Ovis aries: one gene and its partners. The protein of the gene in region 1 interacts with the protein of each later gene in a biochemical or structural test. Links are inferred from orthologs where the notes say so. Each region holds a gene or a part of one and is shown on either strand. Other genes may lie near its edges.

Region 1 (3,500 bases):
TCACGTTCTTGCCTCTAGAAGCCATCAAGAATTTGGGCAAGGGAGGATGGCTCTTTCCTGAGATGGTCACGTTTCCCACCTCAGACCAGTAGGATCGAGTATTTAGAGGAGGGGTTGGGATATTCTAGGGCACCCCCTCCCTGGTTACTTGGTGTCTCCCCTCCCTCTTGGGAGACCGCGTGACGATCAAGGGCATGACGTTAAGGCAAACTCTGAATTGACACTCGGCTCCACCAGTAGCGGTGGTGGTTCAGTCGCTAAGTCATGTCCAGCTCTTTGCGACCCCATGGACTGCAACACGCCAGGCCTCCCTGTCCTCCACTATCTCCCAAGGTTTGCTCAAACTCGTATCCATTGAGTCGGTGATGCCGTCTGACCATTTCTTAGTTGTGTGACCAAAATCTTTTTATCCCTGATCATCATTTTCCTCAACTAAAAAACTGGAGAAGGAAACAGTATGTGCTTTATCGGTTGCCCAGAGAGTGAAATGATTATACGTGAAACACCCATCCTCAGGCCTACCCCTCAGGGAATGCCCCATACGTGACCACTGTTCCGTTCTCCCTCCGTCCTCCCATCCACACTCCTTTCTCCCTCCTGTCTCTCTCAGGATGGCTGGCTTTGATGGCTCAGCTTGGGATGAGGAGGAGGAAGAGCCCCCTGACCATCAGTACTATAATGACTTCCCGGGGAAGGAACCACCTCTCGGGGGTGTGGTGGACATGAGGCTTCGGGAAGGAGCCCTCCCAGGGGCTGCTCGACCCACTCCACCCAGTGCCCAGACCCCCAGCCACCTGGGAGCCACGCTGGTATGTTGCTTGGATGGAGGCGGGTGGGGCTTGGATGGGAGCAGCTGGTTAGGGCCTCTGGTTTCACTCTGTCTTGGTCCCTGCAGCCTGTGGGGCAGCCTGCTGGGGGAGACCCAGAAGCCCGCAGACAGATACCGCCCCCGCCACCCTGCTCAGGTATGAAGGGGACTGAGGGGCAGAGGGGAGTGAGAAGCAGGGCGGGGCCCCTCTAAAGCCTCCGTTTTCTCAGCAGGCAGAGAGCTCTTTGATGACCCCTCGTACGTCAATGTCCAGAACCTAGACAAGGCCCGGCAAGCAGGGGCCGGGGCCGGGCCCCCCAATCCTGCCATCAATGGTAGTGCACCCCGAGACCTCTTTGATATGAGTAAGTGTGCCTCTCGCCTTTCTGTGTCTCCATCTTCTCACTTGATTCCTCCTCTTTTCCTGCCTCTCTGCTTTTTGCTTCCTGGCCTCCCCTCCCTAAAGGTCTAGGTCCTGAGCATAGGGTTGTGTCAGCTGCCTCTCCTAGCCCTCTCTCTGTATCCCCAGAGCCCTTTGAAGATGCCTTGCGAATGCCTCCACCTCCCCAGTCAACAGCCATGGCTGAGCAGCTCCGAGGGGAGCCCTGGTTCCACGGGAAGCTGAGCCGGCGCGAGGCTGAGGCACTGCTACAAGTCAACGGGGACTTCCTGGTGCGGGAAAGCACGACCACGCCGGGCCAGTACGTGCTCACCGGCCTGCAGAGTGGGCAGCCCAAGCACCTGCTCCTGGTGGACCCTGAGGGAGTGGTGAGTGTGGCAGGGGTGTAGGTGGGCATGGCAGAAAGGAAGGTGCAGTCCCCTACCTGTGGCTCTGCTCCTGCCTCACTGCTTCCTAGACTTTGTCTGCTGGGCACCTCTGTCTGGGCCTCCCCTGTTCCCAGGTGTCTGGCATCTCCTTCGTCTAGTGGTTTAGAGTTCCTTCCCTTCTCACATCCCTCACCTGAGCTGTATTCCCTTCAGTCCTTGCCAGTCCCCAAACGTTGTGCCCTTGAGAGCTAGAAAGTGGTCATCTCACTAGTCCCTCTTTTGACAAATAAGGAAACCATCCGCCAGAATTGTAGTGCTCTATGTCAGATGTCTAGAGGCGAAATATCCTGAAACTTTTCACAAGAGGAGCCAGGGGCCTCCCCAGCTCCTGCAGACTCAGGAGTCAGACCAGAGCCCTGTCTCCTGTCTGCGCCGCCCGCTGCCCCTCATGACTTCACTCTTGTTTCTGCAGCAGTCTCAGCCTCCTTTGCATGTCTTTTTGTGTCCTGTGTATCCTCTTCTTGGACATACCGCCCTCCTCCAGGTCAGGGAAGGAGTAGCTAGCCTTCAGTTTCACGACTTCTGGGCTCATGTCTGTTCTGCCTTTTCCCAGTTCACTGACTTGCCCATTCCCACATCTGTCTCCAGCTTCTCTTCCCAGAGAAGCCTCAGTGATCAGAACTGAGAGCCCTCCCTCTCCTGCCATCTTTTTCTCCTGCCTCAACCCTCTTGACTATCCCAGCTTCCTCGGCCTTGGAGACTGAGATTTTATCTGACTCTTCACCTGAATCTCCTTTCTCTGTTCCCACTCCCCAGGTTCGGACAAAGGATCACCGCTTTGAGAGTGTCAGTCACCTCATCAGCTACCACATGGACAATCACTTGCCCATCATCTCTGCGGGCAGCGAACTGTGTCTCCAGCAGCCTGTGGAGCGGAAACTGTGACCTGTTCCAGTGCTCTCTCTCAGAAGACGGCCTGCGGTCCCTTCCACCCTATTCCCTGACTCTTTGGACCTCACTTGGGAGTGTTCGTGGGCTTGGCCTTGTGTAGGACTGGGGATACTGTGGACACTGGGTTCAGCATGCAGCTGAGTGAGAGGGTTTGAGTCAGGAACCAGGGGTAGAGTCCTGCTTCTCCCCAAACCTCACCAAAGTATTAATGTACAGAGTGGCCCCCTTCCCTGGGCCTTTCCTGTGCCAACTTGATACCCTTTTCCCCAAGGTGGGTGCTGGAGGCCTGGGCAGGATGCTTCCTGGTAATGGAAGATGTTCTGTGGTGATAGGCCCAGTGGAGTAATCACCCTTTCAGGGAAGGGGAACTGAATCATACCTTTAGTCTACCCCTGGGCTCAGGGTACCCCAGACTCCTCAACAACCCTCCCTCCCAGCATTCAAATTTTGTGCCTTTGACCATCTCCTAGGTCTGAAGATATTTTATGCAAAGAGTTCTTGGGCCCCTGAAGTCAAGGATGGGGGTGCTGACAGCTTCTTGGCTTCTGGGACCCCGTCCTCTCCTCGCTCAGCACCTCCTCCAGTTTAGGTTGGGCCAGCAGAGGCAGGAGTAGCAGCTGTCCCCTCTCCCTGGGATGTGCAGCCCTTAGAGACTGCCGCGGCACCCTGCTCTCAGCCAGTGGGGAGATGGACCCCTCCCTTGCTCAGTGCCTCCTGGCTGGGGCCCCTCACCCAGGGCTCTGTATATACATTTCGTAAGCCACCCCCCCCCCCCACCATGTTGCATGCATGTTATACTCTACAGCCAAAGTACAGCCCTTCTTCCTGGCCTCTGCCCTGCCTCCCCCTGCAGGGGTGGTGAGGGGGGTGACGGAGCTGCCATCCCAGCTGGATTTGGTCGAGGTGGGAACAGGGGCATTGAGACTTTAAAGCAGTAGACAATCCCCAGATACCATTGGTAGGTTTGGAACTG
Region 2 (3,500 bases), about 94 Mb from region 1:
AGGTTCTTGTTTAAGAATCAATAATAGTGAAAATTAAGATTTACAGAGCACTCACATATGCCAGTTGGAGAAGGAAATGGCATCCCACTCCAGTGTTCTTGCCTGGAGAATCCCAGGGATGGGGCAGCCTGTTGGGCTGCCATCTATGGGGTTGCACAGAGTCAGACACGACTGAAGCGACTTAGCAGCAGCAGCATATATGCCAGGCACTGCTCTGAGCACTGTATGCCTAGTAAGCCACTCAGCCCTCACAATAACCCTAAGTGGTAGGTATATTACCATTACCCCCATTTTACAGATGAGGAAACTGAGGCACAGAGCCATTAGGTGACTTCAAGATCACACCACTGATGAGTGGCAGAACCAGGATGAAAACCCAGACACTACACTGTTACTGTCAAAAAGGGCGGAGTTGAGAGGGTTGGAGGCTCTGTTTACTTGTCCGTGTACGTGTGGATAACTTAGCTTACCCCAGGGCTGCCCTTCTGGGGTCACCCTGCATAGAGACAAAGGCATGGCAGATGGGTTGGCAACCCACTTGCCATGGAGACCCAGGGCAAGGAAATGCCCAACTGATCCCAGTGGGAGCTTTCTGAATGGTCTTACCTGAAGCCCTCATTCTCTCCACCCTACCCACAGACCCTCCCACTGCACCCCACAACCTATCCTGCCTCATGAACCTCACAACCAGCAGCCTCATCTGCCAGTGGGAGCCAGGCCCCGACACCCACCTGTCCACAAGCTTCACCCTGAAGAGCTTCAAGTGAGTAAGGGTCCTTATGCCAGCCCCATTACTTTGGGTTCTGGGACAGACCACAGGTAGGACTGTGGGGTGGAGAGCCAAGGCAGAGATGGGGAGGAGAAGGGAGCTTGGCTTTCTGCCCCCGCTTTACATCCAAGCCTGGCCCATTGGCAGGAGCCAGGACAAATGCCAGACGCAGAAGGATTCCATCCCTGACTGCGTGCCGGAGGACGGGCAGAGCCACTGCGCCATCCCCCGCAAACACCTGCAGCTGTACCAGAACATGAGCATCTGGGTGCAGGCCAGGAACGCGCTGGGGACCAGCGTTTCCCCGAAGCTCTGCCTTGCTCCCATGGACGTTGGTGGGTGACGCTGGGTGTGGGGGAGGAAAGAGGTCCCCACCATGAGCAGACTCAGAGACGCACAGGGAGGGAAACACAGACCCAGCAACAGACAATAAGATGCTGAAAGACCTGGAGGAAGAGAAGGGAGAAAAACAAAGTGGGATTCAATTGAAGACGGAGCTATGGAGACACAGACAGGGATGTGGGAGAAACACAAGCAAGGAGACACACTCATTCATTCTTCCAGCAAATTTCCTGAAGCGCCCACTCTGCGCTAGGCACCATTCTAGGGGCTGGGAATACAGCAGTAAATAACACAGCAAAAATCGTGCCCCCGAAATTTTGCCCACTTACATTCTGGTGGGCAAAGAATAATAAAATGTCAGGTAATGGTATGTGTGATGAGGAAATTAAGCCGGGGATGGGGTAGGGACAGCTGGGGAGAAGGCAGTCAGGGAAGGCCTCACTGAGAAGACAACATTTGAGAAGATCCTTGCAGGAAATGAGGGAGCAAGACACTGTATATTCGGAAAGTAAGTGCTCCAGACCGAGGGAACAACCAGTGCAAAGGCCCATGGGGCAAGAGTAGGAAAGGGAGAGAGAAGCAGGCTCATGGACAGAGACAAACCTGCAGAAACAGGATGACGCAGAGATGAAGGGACACAGAGAGAGATGGAAAGATATAGAGATACCACGATTGGAGACCCAGAGAAGAAATGGAACCACAGACAGGGAGACAAGGGGAAGCCAGGACAGAGCCCTGGAGGATGAAGCAGAGAAAGTGTCCGATAACTCCTCTCCTTGCAGTGAAACTGGAGCCCCCCACACTGTGGGCCCTGGAGCCCAGCCCTGCGGTGGCCCCACCCCAGCCAGGCTGCCTGAGGCTGCGCTGGGAGACCTGGAAGCCAAGCCTGTACATAGAACAGAAGTGTGAGCTGCGCCACCAGCCTCGGCTTGGAGAAGCCGGCTGGGACCTGGTGAGGCAGAGGGCAACCTGAGGGGCCTGGGATGGGGGTGGCTGAGGGGAGGGTAAGCTGAGCTGGCCCTGAAGGGCACAGAGGTCCAGGCCAACAGTCATGCCTGTCTTCCACCAGGTGAGCGGCCTGCCTGCCAGGACCCCCCAGTATGAACTCTGCGGGCTCCTCCCATCCACAGCCTACACCCTGCAAATGCGCTGTACCCGCTGGCGCCTGCCCGGCCACTGGAGCGAATGGAGCCCCAGCCTGGAGCTGACCACTGCACAACGGGGTGAGCAGGTGGTGAGGGGCTAGGAGCAGCCATCAGGACCCAGGCTGGCCTCCGGGGCCCTCCCTGACCCTCCCCTCCCACTCCCTCCACAGCCCCCATCGTCAGACTGGACACGTGGTGGCGGCAGAGGCAGCTGGACCCCCAGACGGTGGCCGTGCAGCTGTTCTGGAAGGTAACCCCCTCTGAAGGCCATCCCTCCACCTCTTCAGATTCAAACAGACCCCTGCAAGCTGGGGCTTGGGACTCCAGCAGGCCTGGCAGGCTTGGATGCATCTGTACGTGATCTGCACACACTTTGCTGGGCAGTGCCCTTCTGCAGAGACTACAATGCAGGACTCACCTTGTTAGGCGCCTGCTGCTCACACTGAGTTACTTTATCCTTTCCTCCCTTCTAGGACCTGGCACAGGGGGAGAAGGGAGGGAGGGAGGAGGACTGACTCCCAGTCTGGGTGGCTTAGTTCCGGGGACACGGACGCTCCATCTAGAAGCTCTCCCCCACTCAAGATGAGCTGCGCATCCCCTCGTCTTTTTCCTCCTATGCCCACTAACAGCCAATAGCCCTGGAAGAAGACAGCAGGCAGATCCAAGGTTACCTGGTTTCCTGGAGACCCTCAGACCAGGCTGGGGCAGAGCCAATCCTCTGTGACACCACGGAGCTGAACTGTACCTTCCAACTGCCTTCAGAAGCCCGGGAGGTGATCCTTAAGGCCTATAACACAGCTGGGACCTCGCATCCCACCCGCGTGGTCTTCTTGGAAAGCAGAGGTAGAAAGGGCCCACAGCTAGTAGAGTATGGTGGTTAAGTAGGTAAATTCAGAGGCTAGACTGCCTGGGTTCAAATCTAATCCTGTTACTTGTTAGCAATGAGATCTGGGCAAGTTGCTTACCCTCCCTGGCCTCAGTTTACTCATCTAGCAAATGGGAATGGTACAGTGTCTAACTCAAAGCATTGCTGTGAAGATTACATGAGTTTAGACATGTGCCTACACAAAGTAACTGTTCCATATGTGTTAGCGACTATTATTATCATTAACCAGAACCAAGTTAAGCTGGTGGCAGTGCCTACACACACACTCTATTCTGCCAAGGAAATGGGAGGGAAAGTTCTAAAGTTTTCCAGCTAAAACATAGTCCCTAGGGCTTCCCTGGCAGTCCAGTGGCTAAGA
Region 3 (4,149 bases), on another chromosome or scaffold:
GGCTGCCTGCCACTGCCTGGGGGTCAGGGTGGGGGTGGCACAGCAAGGAGATGGCCAGACAGTCCCCTTGTCACACCTCATGCCCAGCCTGGTGCCTGGTCATGTGGACACTGTGCTGTGGGGAGGCAAAGAGTCCTTCGGCCACACTGACCCAGTGCCTCCAGCATGCTGGGTCTGTGAGCACGCCTGTATGTGAGTCCTCAGAGCACTGAGCTAAGGCCAGTGCTGTACCTGCACTGACTCACATGCCTGCCCCTCTCCCACACCTCTGTCCACACCTGGCCCTGGCTCAGGGCTGAGGAGCAGGGACGGGAAAGAGCTGGGATGGTCATGAGTGTCTCAGCCGTGGTAGGAACCAGTAGCCTCATGGCTGGCCAACCAAGCTTCCTGGCAATTGCCTCCTTCCCCACATGTCCCTGAGCTGACTGCCCACCGTTCAGAGGCACAGACAGCCTCTATAGAGTCTAAGCCCCAAGAGATAAAGCCTGTAGGAGGTGGCCTCTGCCATCTGCCTTCTCTAGAGGGACACGATTGGGGTAAGGAGTCCAGCCCCAAGCACAGCCCCTCAGAGCGTGCCAGCTTGTTGCAGTGCTATGTGTGGGCAAACTGAGGCATAAGGAGAGGAAGGGAGGGGTCCAGGCAACACAGCAAGTAATTTAGGGGTAGAGCCAGGAAGGAGCCAGCTCTGGGACAAGCACCACATCTCTGAGGGTCGCCTTCGGGCCAGGCTGCTCACCTGCCAGCACGTGGCCTCACACTGGGGCTGCACTGGAATGTCTGAGCTTCTGCTCCAGCACTCCCATCAGTCTAGGGGCTTCTCAGGTCCTCTTCAGCCCCAAAGTGGGTGGCACAAGTATAAGGCTCAGGGACTGTGGCAATGGTCTGCTCTCAACGGGTTATCTCCCTACCAGCCGTGCCCTGGTCCAGCCAAGGCTGTCCCCCTCCACGGGCCCCTTGGCTTCATTCTTTCTCTTCTCCCTCACTGCCCAGCTTTGGTAAGAATCACCTGTACTCACTGCGAGACTGACTTATCCCCCCTCTGTCTGCTACCTTGCACTCGCTCTACTCAGGAGCACCAGGACGTGAGTCTCTCCTGGTTTTCCTTACACTCTGCACATTGGATGTTTTCTATCTCCCTGGAAGCCTCTCGCTCTCTGGTCCCCTCTTTGGGGAAGATGGTCCCATCCTGGGACAGCTTCCTCTTCAGCCTCTCTCCTGAGCCTTGGACACTGTACCCACTGCCTGCTGGATGTCTTCTCAAGGTGGGATATCCCACTCAGCCCTGAAGTCCAACCACGGCACCTGTGAAAGCCTGGGCCTGGGAAGGGTGCAGGGGAGCAAAGAAGGGCCAAGAGGCAGCCCCTCTGCTCAGACCTGCCCTGACTTGGAGGCCGGAAGTTGTCTTCTTCCATCCTCCTCCCCCTAGGTTCACCCACACTTCCCTTCACTCCACTCTCCCCAGCCCTTCAGCCCATATAGACACAGAGAATGGGGTTCTTGTATCCCAAAGACCTGGGTTGAACATGTCCTTTACTACTGGCTTCCTGAGGACTTTGGGGGAAGTTACCCCTGTCCTTGGTTCAAGTGTTCCCGTTTGTAAAAAGGGTCTAACATTTCCTTGTGAGGATTAAAAGAAATGAAACATGTAAAGCCAGTATTCAAAGCCAACAGTGTTTAAAAATAGAGGTATCCATTTCTCCCTTCAGATCTTTCAGAACTACTCCCTCAGACACTGGGGACCCATGATCGGTCCTCCGCCCTCTGACCCCCAGGGTCACTGGATCTCTCATGGGCTTCCAGCTCATCTGCCTCTCATTCCTGATGCTTTCCCCCTGACATCTGCAAACAGCCACCCCTCCCTCAATCCCCAAACTCTCTTCCCTCCGATCGCTCAGAGGCAACCTTTAGTCATGTTCCCATCACCTGTTTCCACACTGCCTCTCCTGTGTTGAAGACCCTTCTTTGCAGCCCCTGCCTTATGATCCTTAGCTTGGCCATCCAGGGTGCTACCCCCCAAATATGGCGAGGGCCGGCCTTCTGCCTCTCCTGCCATGCTGATCACTTACGAGCTGCTGACTCAAGATCAGCCTCAAAATCCAACAACTGCGCCCAGTTTTCCCGGACTACGCCTGATTCCCTGCATCCCTTGGGACTGCTCCATCCCAGCAGTCCTTGGCCTGGGGAAAGTGAACAGCAACCAGAGTTCCCTCAGGAATGCTGATCTCGAGCGCAGACTAGAGTCGCGGGGAAGTGCGCCTCCGAGACTACGACCTGGCGGGGACTGCAACCTCTGCGCTGGGGGACAACCTCAGCGCGCGCGGATCGCAGGATAGAGTAGTGCGGTGCCCCGACTCCGCAGAAAAGCGTGTAAGCAAGCGAAGGATCCAGGCTGAGGATGCAGCGCGAAGGGGCCCGGGTCCAAGGGAGCTGAACCATAGACCGTGGAGTGAAGTCGAGAACCCATCTCCACGCTGCTGGGCTGCCCCGCGGCCCGTCCTCTCCCTTTCCTCATCCCGGCAAGCCCGGCCCGACTCTCTGTGCTCCTTCCGGGATCTGAATTCCTGGCTCTCAACCCTGTCTCCCCTCGTGCCCAAGGGTCCCGCGGGCCCCGTCCCCCGACCGGTCTCGCGTCCGTGCAGTCCCACCATTTGCCCAGGGAAAGCGTCCCCGCTCGTGGCCAGCTGCGCACTGGGGCCGGCGGAGGGCTCACCACGCTCGTTGTCGAGCAGTCCGAGGCAGAGCCACAGGCGCAGGCACAACGCGGCACCCCGCTGCATCTCCGGCCGCGGTGGCGCGGATCAAACGTGCGACCGCGGCTCGCGCTTGAGTGTGGGCGCGAGGCACCGCGCAGGCGGGGCCGGGGCGGGGCTGCGGCCGGGGCGGGGCTCCCGCGGCGGCCTTGGCCTCGGAGAGCGGCCCTCGCACCTCTTAGGACCGCCCTCTCGCAGGAGACTGCCGCAGCGACGTGAGGGTGCTGGCGCGAGGGAGGGCTGGTCCGCGCCCCACTGCCGAGTCAACCGCAACCCTTCAGGTTGGCCATTGTGAGTTAAAAAGGGCACGAACCCAGCCGCCAAGATTGGACAAAACGTGGCAGCACGTATTTTTCTGTAATTTCCTTCAGTTAATAAATACTATGTTTAAAGTAGGAAAAAGAAGAAAGCAATATAATTTAAAATAGCAATATATCAAATCTTTGAGACCGTTCAGTAAACTTTATCTTACCGCCTACGTGGTGTAGATGGAGACTGGACCCTTGGGCCAGGCACCCAGTATAACTAACCTCCATCCTGCAGGCATGTCCTCTTTAGATTTCCTCCAAATAGTTTTGCTCTGAGCTCATTCAGAAGTCCTTTCATCAGGTGACAGTTTGCTCTCCGACTTGGCAACCCTTTCATAGACTTCCTTTCTCTTTTCAGGTCTGTCTCTAGATTTTTCCTATTTAAAAACAAATCCCATGAGCATGACTGTCTCCCTCTTCTGCTTTCATAATCACACTTTTACTATCCCTCCCCCTACCACCTGCAAAAGTCCATTCATCCTTGTCAAAAACCCTTGTTGGAAACAATTGTTACTAAATCTCTAATGCAAGAAAGAATGGAACTTAAGTTGTAATCATATATGGAATATTTAATAAATAATGTGAAAGGTAGGCAACCAAATAAACGAAGTTAGATCCTTTTCCTCAACCACATGTTGCTTTTCTTTCAACTTTTGTTGTTAGTTTTAACATATTGAAATTTGGTTTTAATATATTGTATTTAGTTTAAATACGTTGATATATAATCAAGGTACTATAAATGAGAATTTTAAAGCAAACACTTCTGTTTCAGTCCCACAGATTAAAGAATATAAAATGGCACAAGCTTTCCAGAAGCTTGCCCTTTCTCCTCCTTAACCCCCAAATCCTGGCTTTATCATTTCGCTGCTTTTCTTTATCATTTTATTTCCCAGATATATTTTGCTTGTTTTTAACCTGGCCTTATCATTTCCCTGCTTTTCTTTATCATTTTATTTCCCAGACATATTTTGCTTGTTCATTGCATAATCTTTTGCTCAGCATCTTTTGTGAGATTCATGTGTATTTCTATGAAGACCTATGAAAAAGTGAGTGTTAGTCATCTTGTCTGACTCTTTGTGACCCCATGGACT
Region 4 (3,500 bases), on another chromosome or scaffold:
TCTCCAATATGTAGGAGAGACAAATATAATTAGAAGAGAAGAAGAACAGTCTAGGGGTCAGGAACTCTGACGTTGGCCCTGTTGGTGCCTCGTTTTGCCACTAGCATTTTTTTGCCCACTTACTCCTCTTTCCTATGACAGCTGTAATCAACAAAATAGTTTTGGGGAAAATTCATGAAGCCCGTGGCTTTATTGTTCTGGAAAAGGCACCATGGCCAGAATTACATTTTCCAGAAAGTAGATGTTAACTGATACTTTTGTATTCCATCAGAATACCTGAACCCTGTGGAGGAGAACCCTTTCGTTTCTCGGAGGAAAAATGGAGACCTTCAGGCTTTGGATAATCCCGAATATCACAGCGCTTCCAGTGGTGCACCCAAGGCAGAGGATGAGTATGTAAACGAGCCGCTGTACCTCAACACCTTTGCCAACGCCTTGGGGAACGCCGAGTACCTGAAGAACAGCGTACTGTCTGTGCCAGAGAAGGCCAAGAAAGCATTCGACAACCCCGACTACTGGAACCACAGCCTGCCACCTCGGAGCACCCTCCAGCACCCAGACTACCTGCAGGAGTACAGCACAAAATATTTTTATAAACAAAATGGACGGATCCGGCCTATTGTGGCAGAGAATCCCGAATACCTCTCTGAGTTCTCGCTGAAGCCAGGCACTGTGCTGCCTCCGCCGCCCTACAGACACCGGAATACTGTGGTGTGAGCTCCGCAGTGGTTTTCAGGCGGAGAGACACACCCACTCTAATTTCCCGCCGCCTCTCTTTCTCTTGTTTTCTTCCTTCTACTCCTAAGGCCAGTAGTTTTGACACTTCCCAGTGGAAGCTATAGAGATGCAATGCTAATTTTGTGCTTATCTAACTTGAACATTAGAAGGAAGGATGAAAGAGAAAGAGAGGAGGAACCACACTGTTTCTTCATTTCTCTGCATGGGTTGGCCAGGAGACTGGAACAGCTAGAAAAGGACACGCAAATAGGAGGCAAGACTGCCTGCCGTCAAACTAGTTCTCAGCGTCCCCCACCCCACCATTGTTTTCTTTTTATTCCTTCCTTCCTTTCTTTCAAAGCAGATGCTTGGAAGATCCAAGCTATCTATTCCTATCTGCAGGAACTGATCCGTATATTTTCAGCATCCCTGGTAATCCTAAGGACGTTTTCAGTAGAACAAAAGGATAACCTTTTCTATAATGTATGATAGTAACTTAAGATTGAAAATCCAAACTCTTTCTCCACCAGGGTCTGTCTTGACAAGCAAGAATGGCCAACTCAGCCTTCATAATTTTTGAATCTTCATCCAAGTTATAACCAGTAATTATGTTTGGGGAGCTTTTTTGTTTTACCATTTTGTTTTGCTTTGATCTTTCTCTTCATATTACTTTCTCCTGTATCTTCAGCTTTAGTTTGTAATTGCAAAGCTTTTTACATCAAACCTTCTTAGGTGTTGCTATAAATTGAAAGAATTGTAAAAAGATATTTTAATATGGTGAAATGGCCACTATTTTAAATATACAGTCTTTAAAATTAGAAGGGGAGGCCAAGGTATTGGTCAAACATAGCATTAAATCTAACTTTTGTGTTTTACAGTATTGAATATGGATTCTCCTCCCTCCCTTCCTTTATATTCTTCATTTTCTTCCCCTCTATGAAAGACAGTACTTGATAGGTAGTAATAATGTTAAGAATAGAAGGGAAACTAAGAGACCGTTCTGCGTGATTTATAAAAACTACTGGCACTTTCAGGGGTGGTCCAATGGGGAATCCTTTGAACTGGAAGAAACACACTGGATTGAGTATGTCTACCTGATAGATACTCAGAAATGTAGTTTGCACTTGAGCTGTAGTTTTATTTGTTCTCTTTCTGAACTTCATTTTGGATTTTGAATGAAGCAATATGGAAGCAACCAGCACAATAACACATTTGAGTACATTTTTTTTAAAGAGCTAAGATAAAGAAAGACTGTGGAAATGCCAAACCAAGCAAGTTAGGATTTTGGAACAGTATCAGGGGATTATGGTGAAAGAGTCAGTACATGCTCCACATGTAATATCACATTTTCTACATGAGGAAAGTTGTCCAGTTTGTACACTCCATTTGAAGGAATGCAAGTAAGGATTGGCTTAAATTCCATGGAATTTTTAGTATAAGACTCATTCATATTAAGTGGAAGGTAACTTTGCACCTAAATTGGTATAACAAAAAGAAATAAATAAACATTCATTGCTTTAGATAGATCCTTGGGTTAAGAGTTGTAAATAAATGTGAAAAAAGTTTCTCATGTAATTATTTTAATATACAACATACTACCCTTTTGATACCTTATATGATAACTCTTTTTCTTCAAACAGCATCCTAGTTCTAGAGCCATCTTTATTATGTATCATTTTGAAGAATACCTATTAAGTTAAGATGAGCAATAGAAACAAAGGATAGGGTTGAGTTTTCAGAAAAATGGAGGCCTCAGGTCAGCAATTAGAAAAATTGGATATAAATCTGCCCCTTCTAGGAAAATCTGCCCCAATTTATTTGGAATTTTGTAAAATATATTTCTTTCCAGTGATAAAATATTGGGAATTTGAATGTATCACCTGGTGGTGGTGGTTTAGTCGCTAAGTCATGTCCGACTCTTGAGACCCCATGGACTGTATCCTGCCAGGCTCCCCCATCCATGGGATTCTCCAAGCAAGAATACTGGAGTGGGTTGCCATTTCCTTCTCCAGAATGAATCACCTAATTGAAAACAGACTGAAAATCTCCATGGGAAATAGTAGGAAAAAAATGACAAGAAATCTAGGTTTCTGCCTATTTTGAAAAAGTAAGTCTCTCCACCCATTCATCTCCCTTTTTTTTCAATTCATATTTATTTATAGTCTACTAAAAGCACTGTGTTATGTGGGGAACACCCAGATAAATGCAATACTATCCCTAACTTTAAAATTTTACAATTAAAATGTATTTGGAATGACATTTAATTTTTTTTTTATAATTCAAAGAATACAGTTGCATGGACTCTTTTTTGAACAATTGTATAAAATCAGCTATTTGTTAAAAGATCTTCTGTGAACTCATCTGGGACATGAGTGAAACGTCCTACAAGTTACTGAAAGTAACGCATAGGAGAGTTTCAGTGTTATCATCCAAACGCAAACTGGTCTAGAAGGGTATTGTATCACTGGCTAAGTGTCACTTCCGGATTCTAACTTAGCCATTAAATCAGCAGTAGATGTTGGTTTTTGCCCAAGAACATTGGAGACATTGGAATTGTTTTCTTCTGAAGTTGTGAAAAGTGAGGGAAGCTAAAAGAATGAGGTCGAGTAAGGAGGGGTTTTATGAGAGCCCTTACAGTGAAGTTCAAGCATGAGTTTCCCAAGGGTGAAGACAGAATGATTCAGGGCCACAGCCTAAAAGCTCAGAGTTCTTCCACCCAGTCAGAGGAATCTCCAGGAAAAGCAGTCCTCACATCATCATTTATAGAAGTTTAGATAGAAACC
Region 5 (3,500 bases), on another chromosome or scaffold:
CTACAACAAGCTAACTTTCCAGTTGGAACCCAATCCCTATACCAAGTATCAGTATGGAGGAGTGTGTGTAGCCAGCTGTCCCCGTAAGTGTCTGAAGGGAAGGAACAATGGGAGTGGAACCAGGATTTTATTCTTTTAGCCTTTTTTTTACAAAAATTTATGTATTTATGAATAGTAGCGCTGGATCTTTGTTGCTTTGCGCCGCTTTCTCTATTGCGGTGAACCGGGTTCTTCTCTTAATTTCAATGTGTGGGCTTCTCATAGTGGAGGCTTCTCTTGTTGAGCAGCATGGGCTCTAGGCATAAAGGCTTCAGTAGCTGTGGCTCGTGGGCTCTAGAGCTCAGGCTCAGTAGTCGTGGCACATAGACTTAGTTGCTTCACTGCATGTGGGATCTTCCCAGACAAGGGATTGAATCTGTGTCTCCTAGATTGGCAGGCAGGTTCCCGTCCACTGTGCCACCAGGGAAGTCCTATCCATTTTATTTTTTTAATATTGTTTTTGCCACACTGCACAGCATGTGGAATCTTAATTCCCTGAACAGTGATTGAACCCATGCCCTTTACACTGGAAGCACGGAGTCTTAACCATTGGACCACCAAGGAAGTCCCTGACAGGATTTTATTTAATCTTATTCTGTGTGTGTTTGTGTGTGTGACCAGCGACCTGCTGTTTTTAAAATATAACATTTATTGCATAGATGGTTTGATACAAAAGAGCTTTTCTTCTCATTTTGAATTTGGAAGTACTATATGACTGAAAACAAAGAGGAAGGAAAAATACCAAAACTGAACTTGGGATTTTCTGTTCATGTGGTATAAACCAATTTTGTATGTAACATGTAGCAGCAGTTTTTAAGTTCCCTTTAGAAAAATATGAATTCCACACATTTGTTATTTTGTCCTGTTTAATTCATGGGCTGAAATCATTAGGATCAACTTCTTTCTAGAGGAAAGAGAGAAACAGAATGGAAGGAACAGTGAATCTTTCTGAAATCAGCATCCGACTGACACATAGCTTCCCCGGAGCTGGTGGAAAAAACAGTCCTTTGGGTTTTCTGTTTTGTTTTCATAGCCGGATGTTTTATGTAGTGATTGAATCTCAGCATCATGTCCATAAATCACAGAGAAAAACAAAACAGAGAAACTTGCACCTCAAAAAACTTTTAGGAAGATCTATTTATGTATCTATACCTATATACATACACATATATATATTGGGTAAAAACCCTGAGAGAAGGAGAAAGAGAATCAAAGAAAATGTATAGAAACAAATTAGCTGGACATGCAAACTAAGCTATGATTCATCCAGAGTTTAAACAAATCAAATTTCACAGTTTAGTATTGGGGGAGGGGACAGAACAACAAACAAATGATACATCTTCCAACTTCACTAATAAAATGTGGCAAGACTTTTATCGACTTCAAGGGTATGAATGAAGTCTAAATAAAACTTTAAATCAGTGGTGATTATTTTGAGTGGCAGTCCTGGCCATGTTGCCAGGCTGGTTCCTGCTATATATCTTACCCCAGGGGTAAGCACATTCTACTCCTTAAGTTGTGCTTCCTCCCACAATATTAACCAGGGTTTTAGATGAAATTTTTTCCTTTTTTTGGCCATGTCCTGACTAGGGATCGGACTCAAGCCTTCAGCAGTGAAAGCACGGAGTCCTAATCACTGTACTGCCAGGAAATTCCCTAGATGCAATTTTAGGAGGTGAAATGGATCAAGTTGGGAGTTTAATTGAGAGTGTAAAGGGCAATGGGTTGTGATCATCATCACCCTTAACAAATGGCCCCTATGTCCTGTTCCCCGTATCTGTTTCCCCATGACTTCCACCAATTGCTTCTAGTTCTGCTTTTGGGATCCAGAGAGCAAAGGGCCTTTCTAATCCATGCTTAGAATCCAGCACTTAAGGAACCTCCGGTGGTCAATTGGAGCAAATCCATGCAGATAAGGAGGGAGGCGGTTCAGCTGGTAGTTGGCAGTGTTCGTCCCTCATCTCTTTCCTCTTTCCTAGATAACTTTGTGGTGGATCAAACGTCTTGTGTCAGGGCCTGTCCTGCTGACAAGATGGAAGTAGATAAAAATGGACTCAAGATATGTGAACCTTGTGGGGGTCTGTGCCCGAAAGGTGAGTAAGAGATTGAAAGGAGTTGGTGAAGAGACACCCTTTCCCCTGAGACTACTCAGCCCCGACCCCTCATCCCCACACTGAGCCTCTTCTGTTTGCAGCCTGTGAGGGGACAGGCTCTGGGAGCCGCTTCCAGACTGTGGACTCGAGCAACATTGATGGATTCGTGAACTGCACCAAGATCCTGGGCAACCTGGACTTTCTTATCACTGGCCTCAATGGGTTAGAGATTCTGTTTTCATCCTCTGATCCCCAACCCCATCAACCCCCTCACAGTTCATTGCACTGGTTCAAGCCTTCATACGGGGAGCTGATCAGGAAGTTAGATCATAAAATCTTAAAGAGATCACAAAGGACCTGGCAGTGCTTAATCCCCCAGGGCTTGAATCCCCTCAGACACCCCTGAACAACCCAGCCACCTGAATGGCAAGGGACAGGGACAGAGTATCCTCCTTCTTAAAGGTTTCTAAATGTTCTTAAGTTGGATACAAATCTTTCTCCCCATGACTTCCAGCTGTTTCACCTAGTTCTGCTCCTTGGTATGGAGCCACAAAGAGCAAGGGACATTCCAGTCCACAGGACAGCGTTTACAGTGAGTGAGTGTGTGTGTGTGTGAGAGAGAGAGAGAGAGAGAGACAAAACGTTAGGACCACTTGTCTTTGGACAATATTGTATCTAAAGTTGCAAAAAATGGTACAAAGATTTTCCATATGCTCTTTATTCAGATCCCCCAACGGCACCCCACTCCAGTACCCTTGCCTAGAAAATCCCATGGGCGGAGGAGCCTGATAGGCTGCAGTCCATGGGGTTGCACGGACATGACTGAGCGACTTCACTTTCACTTTTCACTTTCATGCATTGGAGAAGGAAATGGCAACCCACTCCAGTGTTCTTGCCTGGAGAATCCCAGGGACGGGGGAGCCTGGTGGGCTGCCATCTATGGGGTCGCACAGAGTCGGACATGACTGAAGCGACTTAGCAGCAGCAAGTGTTAACAGTGTACCATAAAAAAAGGAAAGGAAAGTGAAGTCACTCAGTCCTGTCTGACTTTTTGTGACCCCATGGACTGTAGCATACCAGGCTTCTCCATCCTTGGGATTTTCCAGGCAAGGGTACTGGAGTGGGGTGCCATCGCCTTCTCCAGTGTACCATATGCTTTATCATTTCTCTCTCTACACAACACACACACGCACACACACACACTCATTATATATGCTCTTGTTTTTCTGAACCACTTGAAGGTAAATTTCCAGACATGGTGTCCTCTCACCCCAGTGACATTTCAGGGTGTATTCCTTGAAAACAAGAACGTTTTCTTACTTAACCACAGTACATTTGTTTAAATCAAGAAATTAGCAGATACAAAAT
Region 6 (3,500 bases), on another chromosome or scaffold:
AGCTAATAGTGTTGTACTTCTTTTTGCACATTTTCTGTATTCCTGGAATCTGAGTCTTACTTTGAGGGCAAAGAGCTCTGTGGTATATACTAGCAGAGTAGTTAATTCTTGCAGTAATTGATTGCAATAATGGGGTAAGTTAGTGAAGACCTCTTACAAATAAAGCTAATAAGAATATTAGCATTTATTTTTACTTAATTTAATAGAGGACATTGTTGGTTAAAAGAAGCTAAACATTTGAGGTAGTTAATTTTATGGCCTTTCTCAGATCTGAGTTTGAGTATAAAGACGTAATTATTGCTTTGTTCTATTTGGTTCCAGACTGGACCCGAATTAATTTCAAAACTTTAATCATTGATTCCTTTTTAAGTTTTTGATTTTAGCAAAGTGTTATGTTTATTGCTTTCGAAACATCATTTTGTATGTAAAGTTGCACAGCTCATGCTTCAGTGTGGATAATGAGGAACATTTTTACATAGAAAATTAAACCTCTGTGTTTGACGATATAACATTAGTAGAAAAAATAAAATAAGGAAATAATGAAAATTATAAATCAAATAACTCTGAAGGAATTGTGCCACATTACTCTTCTTCTCATTAAGTTTATAGTCATAAAATATGTACTTCAATTAAGAAGCAACATGTAATAATAGAGCTTTATTTAGACTTTCAGTAAACAGTCAGGAAATTATCTAATTTAGCCTTTGTCGCTAATTTTTTTAGCTGTGTAACCTTGGAGAAATCACATAACATCTGTGAACTTCTTTTCATGTGAAAACTAGCCAGTCCTAGGTGTACTCTGGCTATAGTAGAGGTGTAGAAAGAAGGTCATGTTTTCCAAATTTCTATGTACTAAAATCTCATTTTCTCTCTCTTGTTTCAGTCAAGCCAGCACCTTTAGAAATAAAACCTTTGCCAGAATGGGAAGAATTACAAGCCCCAGTTAGATCTCCCATCACTAGGAGTTTTGCTCGAGAGTAAGTCTTTATATAAAATACATAGCTCAATTGTTCTTTGTAATGGAAAGTACCTAAAACAGTGGTTCCCAGAGGATGGTCTGGGGAACCCCTCCCCTTTTGGGTTTCTGTGAAGTCAAAACTATTTCATTAATATACTAAGATGTCATTTGCTTCTCCACTCTCCTTCTCTCATGAGTGTACACTGGAGTTTTCCAGAGGTGGCTAATACTGGGCGATAACCATTGTGGCAGCTAAGAGAGTGTGCCTTTGTGTATGCCTGTGCTTAATTTTTTTTCTATTATTTGTAATATGGTGAATGTCAATAGATATCACCCTATAAACGAAAGTTCCTTGGGGTTCTCAATAATTTTTTAAGAATGTGAAAGGTTCATGAGGCTAGAAATTTCTGAGAACTACTGATCTGGAAACTATGGTAGTTTCTTGTGAGGATTATTTAATAAAGATTCATTTAAATATATACGTGGAAATAAAAAGAATGTACACAGTTACAAACCTGTGTTGATGTGTTCATATTTTATATGTATAAACAAGTTTTTTTAAAAATAAGAATGCTTAAATCTTCCTTTTTAAAGCTGTGACTTTCTATTTATCCCCCATATCACTAGCGATACTTTTTTTCTTTCTTTTTTTTTTGCTCTGCACAAGGCTATTAAATGCCCAGAAACATCCCTTTATGGGGAGATGTGAGTTCAGTCCCTGAGTTGGGAAGATCCCTTGAAGGAGGGCATGGCAACCCACTCCAGTATTCTTGCCCTAGAGAATCCCATGGACAGAGGAGCCTGGTGGGCCACAGTCCAGAGAGTCGCAAAGAGTGGGACATGGCTGAGCCGACCTAGCACAGCACAGCATCCCCTCACAGGGTGGGGGATCGCAGTAAGGAAGGGCAAGTAGGAGGTTCAGACTACTGGGTGTAACATAGGCTCAAGAATGTGTTGTACAACATGGAGAATAGAGCCAACATTTTGTAATAACTATAAATGGAAAGTAACCTTTCAAAGTTTTTTTTTTTAATATCTGTATAAGTTTCTCTTTAAATATCTGTTTACAAATAGCTATAAACACTAGATATGTGTTTGAATGTCTGCAATAAAGTGGACTATAGTAAATATGTATAGTAAATGATTACAAGCTTCAGTTCTTCTGGGAAGAATATGCCCTCTCTCTTATTCTTGCTGTGGAAGCGAGCTGAGAAACCTGGGTCAGGCTGTGTGTTTGTGACGACCCTCTCTGCCCTCAGCTCCTCCAGGTTCCCCCTGTCTCCCCGGCCGGATTCTGTGCACAGCACAACTTCAAGCAGCGACTCGCACGACAGTGAAGAGAATTACGTTCCGATGAACCCCAACCTATCCAGTGAAGACTCCGTGAGTAGCGTCTTCTCTTAACATCTCTCTTCCTCAGCAGCCCTTCTGAGTCGTTCGCGCTCAACCTTTCTTCCAGTTCATACACGTTACCCATCCACCTTTCTTTGTTTACTCCAGGAAAAAGGACTTTTTTTTTTTCTTTTGCTCTGTATGTATTTTAATTAATTCCATACTGGAGAGTGAGGAGTTTGAATAAGAAGTTAAGGAGAGTTTTTAAAATGCTTTTGAAAAGCAGATCATAAAGTCTAAAACCAATATCGGGTCAGAGGGTAATACTATATCTGTAAAGTAGATATAAGTTAGATAAAGATGATAAAAAATTTTCCAGTTATATTTCTTTTCATATGTACTTGATGTTTGAAACCATTCAAGAAAATGCGTTATACTGGAAGCATTTTATAATGCATTTCTCCAGATTCAAATCAGGGTGCTCAGGATGCTTTGTGTATTCATTTACACAAAGATCTAAAATCAAGCATTCATGAAATGAACCCTTCATGTTCCTTAAGGGTTGAAAATTAAGTTACGAAATTCACTTAATTAAGCACCTGAAATTCAAGTTATGGTACATCATTACTAATGACATATATTGTTTGTAACAATAACAAAAATATGTTTAATACTTGTATGTATTTTTTTCAAGAATTTTAGAAAAACAAAGCACTACTATTTTTTCTCTTTTTTTGGCCGTGACACATGGCATGCGGGATCTTAGTTCCCTGACTAAGGAACCAAACGCTTGCTCCCTGCGGTGGAAGTGCAAAGTCTTAGCCACTGGATCACCAGGGAAGTCCCAACTAATTTTTTTTTCTTTTAATTCACAGAACACCTCATAATAACTCCTAGAATCTTAGGGTTTTTCTAACTCTTTTGGGGAAACACTGTGTTAAAAACTAGAAGGCAGACACGGGCTGTTCCCAGTTGAGATTAGATAGGGAGCAAACAGACTTTTTTGTCGAGACATAGATTTTAACAATACTTAAGGATGAAAAAAATGCCAGTTCTATTAATTATTAGACAGAGCACAATTTAACTAGCAATCCTAAGAAATTCACTTTAGGAACAACTTACTTAGATTAAACGTGTACATCACATGAATTCAAGGGTTCTGTTCATAGCCTGCAGTGCTGTGAATAATTCTGTACATTTTCAGTTAGGG
Region 7 (3,500 bases), on another chromosome or scaffold:
GCAAGATGTTTGCCTGCTTGTATTCATCCAAGTGCTTCCCATCCTGATTTTAATCCCTGATTTTTATGTTAAAATGTGTTATAAAGCCACTTAAATTTTGTTCATTTCATGAGTATCAGGAAATGATTAGAATGGGGGAATACCAAAATAAAATTAAACAGCAGGCTTTTTGAAAAACAATTGAAAATTTAAATATTCCTCATGCAAAAGTACAAAATGGAAAGGCAGAGAAAAAAAAGTTAAATGAATAAAAGGAAGAATGAAAAGAAAATAAATATTTTATCATTCATATTTTATATGACAGATTGACATATTCATAGAAATTATAAAGCTATGAAGAATAAAACTTCTTCCTAATTCATAGAAAATGAATGTACTATAGAACCAGCAAATAAACCAAATCTACATATAAGGAGACTTATGCTTTTTAAATCTGTAATGAAGGCTATTTCTTTATATCCTCCATGGTATCAAAACCAATTTCTTGGAAACAGAAGTAGTAGCAACAATAATAACAAGGATTATAATAAAAACTAACAGTAAGTGGAACACTTGCTATCTGCCACATACAGTAGTGATGAACTTTACAAGTTTCTGAAGAACTTACTTAATTCTTCAATTATTAACGGTATGATTCCCACTTTGAAATAAAGAGATTATGGCACAATGAAATAAAGTAATTCGACCAAGATCCCACAACTAGTAAATGACAGAGCCAAGAATTTTAACCTGGGAGGTCTAGCTCCAGTCAGCATTCTTAACCACTAAACTATATAATGTTTCCAGTTAGACATAAATATTCACTGACTTGACTATATTTATACATAGATAAATATAAAAGGCACCAGGGATGCAGTATTTGGAAAAGTCAACGCAGAGCATACATATCTAATGTAGGTATAAATTCATCCAAAACAAATGAGTGACAATATGTTCATTTTGCTGCCCAGTGTATTACCTCATGCTAATACGCATCATTTATACCTTTCACTGCCTTTATCTCTTACATAGCAAAGCTACTTCTAAAAAAGTAGTAACATGTATAACAAAACGTATGGCATAATTTACTGCAATTAGTCATAAGTTTAAAAATCGTAACAGATGAATTAGATATAATGCTATATAAAAATTATTCTTACCCCAGCTTTCAGTAAATTCCACGTATAATCTATGGCACAAATGGCACCTGTTCTTCCACAGCCTGCACTATGGATATAAAATTTGAAAAAACAATTGATTTTTGTAATAAAAGAACTATAAGATAAACGTGGATGGATATGTTAATACTCAGAAGCGAAAATCGTTTAAGAAAGCTGATAAAATTCTACTTATTTAGTAAGTAAACTACAACTTAAGATGTGTGCAGGGCAAACATCCTTAAAATTATGATTTACATATTGTTTTCCTTTAAGGAACCTGCAAGAGTAATACCTCGAAACCTCCACTTTGAAAGTCTGTCTACCTCGTGAAACCTTGTCTAGCTAACAAAACACCTTGCAGAGATAAATTTATACTATGTTCTAGATAGCTCTGGTAGAGGGAGAAATCTACATCATTTCAACCTGCAAAAGGTACAGGAAAGATGAAGATTAATAAGCCCTAGAAACTGGTTTGAACATAAGCAGTGATTACACTAAAGAAAGAAAGGCCTCTAATGCTTTCTAATCTCCTGAAGAACAGAACCTAAAGAATGTAAAGTAAAATATCAAAGTTAGTTATTTTAAAACACGACAAAAATAAAGTAAATGGTTTTCAGCTAGAGGGAGGCAAATGCACCCAACGACTGGAAATCACTATGAGTAAATAAAGATGCTACTGACATCTTTAATAATTTTAGGCAGAAAAAAATTGGGGTAGCACTTTAATATGTATTTTGAAACTTTTAGAAATATCATGTAATCTAAGAATTCATGATACAATACATTTTAAGCAATTTAGTATGGTTTTCTAAAAAGCTCTTAACAATAGACATCAAAATATTAATTTTAAACCACTGATTTATTTGTCAATTCCACACATCAAAACGTTTCTAAAATTTTAGTGTTAAGAGTTACTAGAGCTAAATGATATATATGTAAAACTTGGTGGTTAAAAGTGTGATATTACAAAGACAGAGACAACTATATCAATGAAACACTACATAATATTTCGGTTGTTTGAAAATATTAAATGATCAACTTTATTTTATTAAAAGAAAATCTTCACATCAAATTGGGTTTATGACCTATACATTGGCTGGACAATATGAATACAACAGGAAATAATTTCAGTTAACTTGTAAAGAAGTCAAGCCAAAGCAATTTATCTTTTAATTCTACAATTAAACAGACCCTTCTCTTTTTAACCAGTTAACTACTTAGACTCAACTAATCACAGACAAACTAAAGAAAAATCATTTTAATTAAGCAGGTTGCTAACTGATTCCTACGTCTACATCAGCAGGTCACCTTTCTGGTTCATAAGAAAAAGCAGCCCTTTCACTTCACTAATACAGGCATCACAATCCAACCAAATGGCTAAGAAAACTCTCTTTGGTGCTCCATCACCACTAATGTCTTTTTCTAACTTTTTATTTTTTATATTCGAGTCAATTAACAATGAGGTGACAGTTTCAGGTGGAAAGCAAAGAGACTCAACCATCCATTCTTCCCCAAACTCGCTGCCACATAACATTGAGCAGAGTTCCCTGTGCTACAGAATAGGCCCCTGTTGGCTATCCAATTTAAATATAACTCCACTAATACCTTTTAACTATTGAATTAGCCTGAGTTAATTAACCTCTGAGTCTGAAAATTTTCATTTACTTTTCATAACAACTGTGAATACAGGTTTAAGTCACTTAAAAAATAAATTGCTATTTTATGAAATAAGTACTATGATTTTAAGTCTTTTGGAAAAATCTAATATAAAATAAAAAATTAAGAGAAGGAAAACTGCCTCAGGAATTAAATGACCAATCTAACTCCGGGAGCTGGTGATGGACAGGGAGGCCTGGCGTGCTGTGATCCATAGGGTCGCAAAGAGTCGGACACAACTGAGTGACTGAACTGAACTGAACTGAATGAAATTCGAAACTTATGTTTCAAAATGCTATACATTACCCACATTATAATGCCATCTATACTGAAAAATATTTAATTAAATATTTAGAAAAATTTTTTGTACCTGCAATGAATACAAATAGGCACATCTTCATGTTCCTGGTATTTCCTCATTAAGCTTATCATGTCCAGAATAGAATCAAATGATGAAGGAACATCATGGTCTGGCCAGTTCACATAATGAAACTGATATAGCCTACGAGATTCCTTCAAGAATAACAGAAATTCAACCATATAAAAATACAGTTACAAATTTTAAACCATAAAGAAAAGCTGCACATCTCACTTTGCTGTCATTTCTAAGATAGGTATGTCATATTCAGCACTTTGTTAAAAAAAAATGATAGCCTACATTTATCACATACCTTTTCTTAATCCCCCATGTAATACAATGGGGAA

The links.
Region 2: the proteins of SHC1 (region 1) and CSF3R form a complex in vitro, tested with the Homo sapiens proteins (2 studies listed by BioGRID, with this or other methods). The link is inferred for Ovis aries from reciprocal best matches to the Homo sapiens genes SHC1 and CSF3R.
Region 3: the proteins of SHC1 (region 1) and FLT4 form a complex in vitro, tested with the Homo sapiens proteins (2 studies listed by BioGRID). The link is inferred for Ovis aries from reciprocal best matches to the Homo sapiens genes SHC1 and FLT4.
Region 4: the proteins of SHC1 (region 1) and ERBB4 form a complex in vitro, tested with the Homo sapiens proteins (2 studies listed by BioGRID and IntAct, with this or other methods). The link is inferred for Ovis aries from reciprocal best matches to the Homo sapiens genes SHC1 and ERBB4.
Region 5: the proteins of SHC1 (region 1) and ERBB3 form a complex in vitro, tested with the Homo sapiens proteins (2 studies listed by BioGRID and IntAct, with this or other methods). The link is inferred for Ovis aries from reciprocal best matches to the Homo sapiens genes SHC1 and ERBB3.
Region 6: the proteins of SHC1 (region 1) and GAB1 form a complex in vitro, tested with the Homo sapiens proteins (2 studies listed by BioGRID and IntAct, with this or other methods). The link is inferred for Ovis aries from reciprocal best matches to the Homo sapiens genes SHC1 and GAB1.
Region 7: the proteins of SHC1 (region 1) and PTPN12 form a complex in vitro, tested with the Homo sapiens proteins (2 studies listed by BioGRID). The link is inferred for Ovis aries from reciprocal best matches to the Homo sapiens genes SHC1 and PTPN12.

Annotation. Positions count from the first base shown.
Region 1 is NC_056054.1:105,187,764-105,191,263, reverse strand, and holds part of SHC1 (SHC-transforming protein 1), read left to right. Parts: intron 1-610; coding exon 611-809; intron 810-895; coding exon 896-965; intron 966-1,038; coding exon 1,039-1,173; intron 1,174-1,337; coding exon 1,338-1,576; intron 1,577-2,392; coding exon 2,393-2,521; 3' UTR 2,522-3,500. UniProt on the Homo sapiens protein: Signaling adapter that couples activated growth factor receptors to signaling pathways. Participates in a signaling cascade initiated by activated KIT and KITLG/SCF.
Region 2 is NC_056054.1:11,303,789-11,307,288, reverse strand, and holds part of CSF3R (granulocyte colony-stimulating factor receptor), read left to right. Parts: intron 1-639; coding exon 640-763; intron 764-916; coding exon 917-1,104; intron 1,105-1,893; coding exon 1,894-2,063; intron 2,064-2,180; coding exon 2,181-2,334; intron 2,335-2,426; coding exon 2,427-2,506; intron 2,507-2,885; coding exon 2,886-3,099; intron 3,100-3,500. UniProt on the Homo sapiens protein: Receptor for granulocyte colony-stimulating factor (CSF3), essential for granulocytic maturation. Plays a crucial role in the proliferation, differentiation and survival of cells along the neutrophilic lineage.
Region 3 is NC_056058.1:345,175-349,323, reverse strand, and holds the start of FLT4 (vascular endothelial growth factor receptor 3), read right to left. Parts: upstream 2,801-4,149; 5' UTR 2,778-2,800; coding exon 2,711-2,777; intron 1-2,710. UniProt on the Homo sapiens protein: Tyrosine-protein kinase that acts as a cell-surface receptor for VEGFC and VEGFD, and plays an essential role in adult lymphangiogenesis and in the development of the vascular network and the cardiovascular system during embryonic development.
Region 4 is NC_056055.1:213,136,239-213,139,738, reverse strand, and holds part of ERBB4 (receptor tyrosine-protein kinase erbB-4), read left to right. Parts: intron 1-271; coding exon 272-717; 3' UTR 718-3,500. UniProt on the Homo sapiens protein: Tyrosine-protein kinase that plays an essential role as cell surface receptor for neuregulins and EGF family members and regulates development of the heart, the central nervous system and the mammary gland, gene transcription, cell proliferation, differentiation, migration and apoptosis.
Region 5 is NC_056056.1:163,445,690-163,449,189, reverse strand, and holds part of ERBB3 (receptor tyrosine-protein kinase erbB-3), read left to right. Parts: coding exon 1-83; intron 84-2,018; coding exon 2,019-2,132; intron 2,133-2,233; coding exon 2,234-2,354; intron 2,355-3,500. UniProt on the Homo sapiens protein: Tyrosine-protein kinase that plays an essential role as cell surface receptor for neuregulins.
Region 6 is NC_056070.1:14,499,040-14,502,539, reverse strand, and holds part of GAB1 (GRB2-associated-binding protein 1), read left to right. Parts: intron 1-883; coding exon 884-977; intron 978-2,217; coding exon 2,218-2,341; intron 2,342-3,500. UniProt on the Homo sapiens protein: Adapter protein that plays a role in intracellular signaling cascades triggered by activated receptor-type kinases. Plays a role in FGFR1 signaling. Probably involved in signaling by the epidermal growth factor receptor (EGFR) and the insulin receptor (INSR).
Region 7 is NC_056057.1:45,131,365-45,134,864, forward strand, and holds part of PTPN12 (tyrosine-protein phosphatase non-receptor type 12), read right to left. Parts: intron 3,309-3,500; coding exon 3,166-3,308; intron 1,207-3,165; coding exon 1,140-1,206; intron 1-1,139. UniProt on the Homo sapiens protein: Dephosphorylates a range of proteins, and thereby regulates cellular signaling cascades. Dephosphorylates cellular tyrosine kinases, such as ERBB2 and PTK2B/PYK2, and thereby regulates signaling via ERBB2 and PTK2B/PYK2.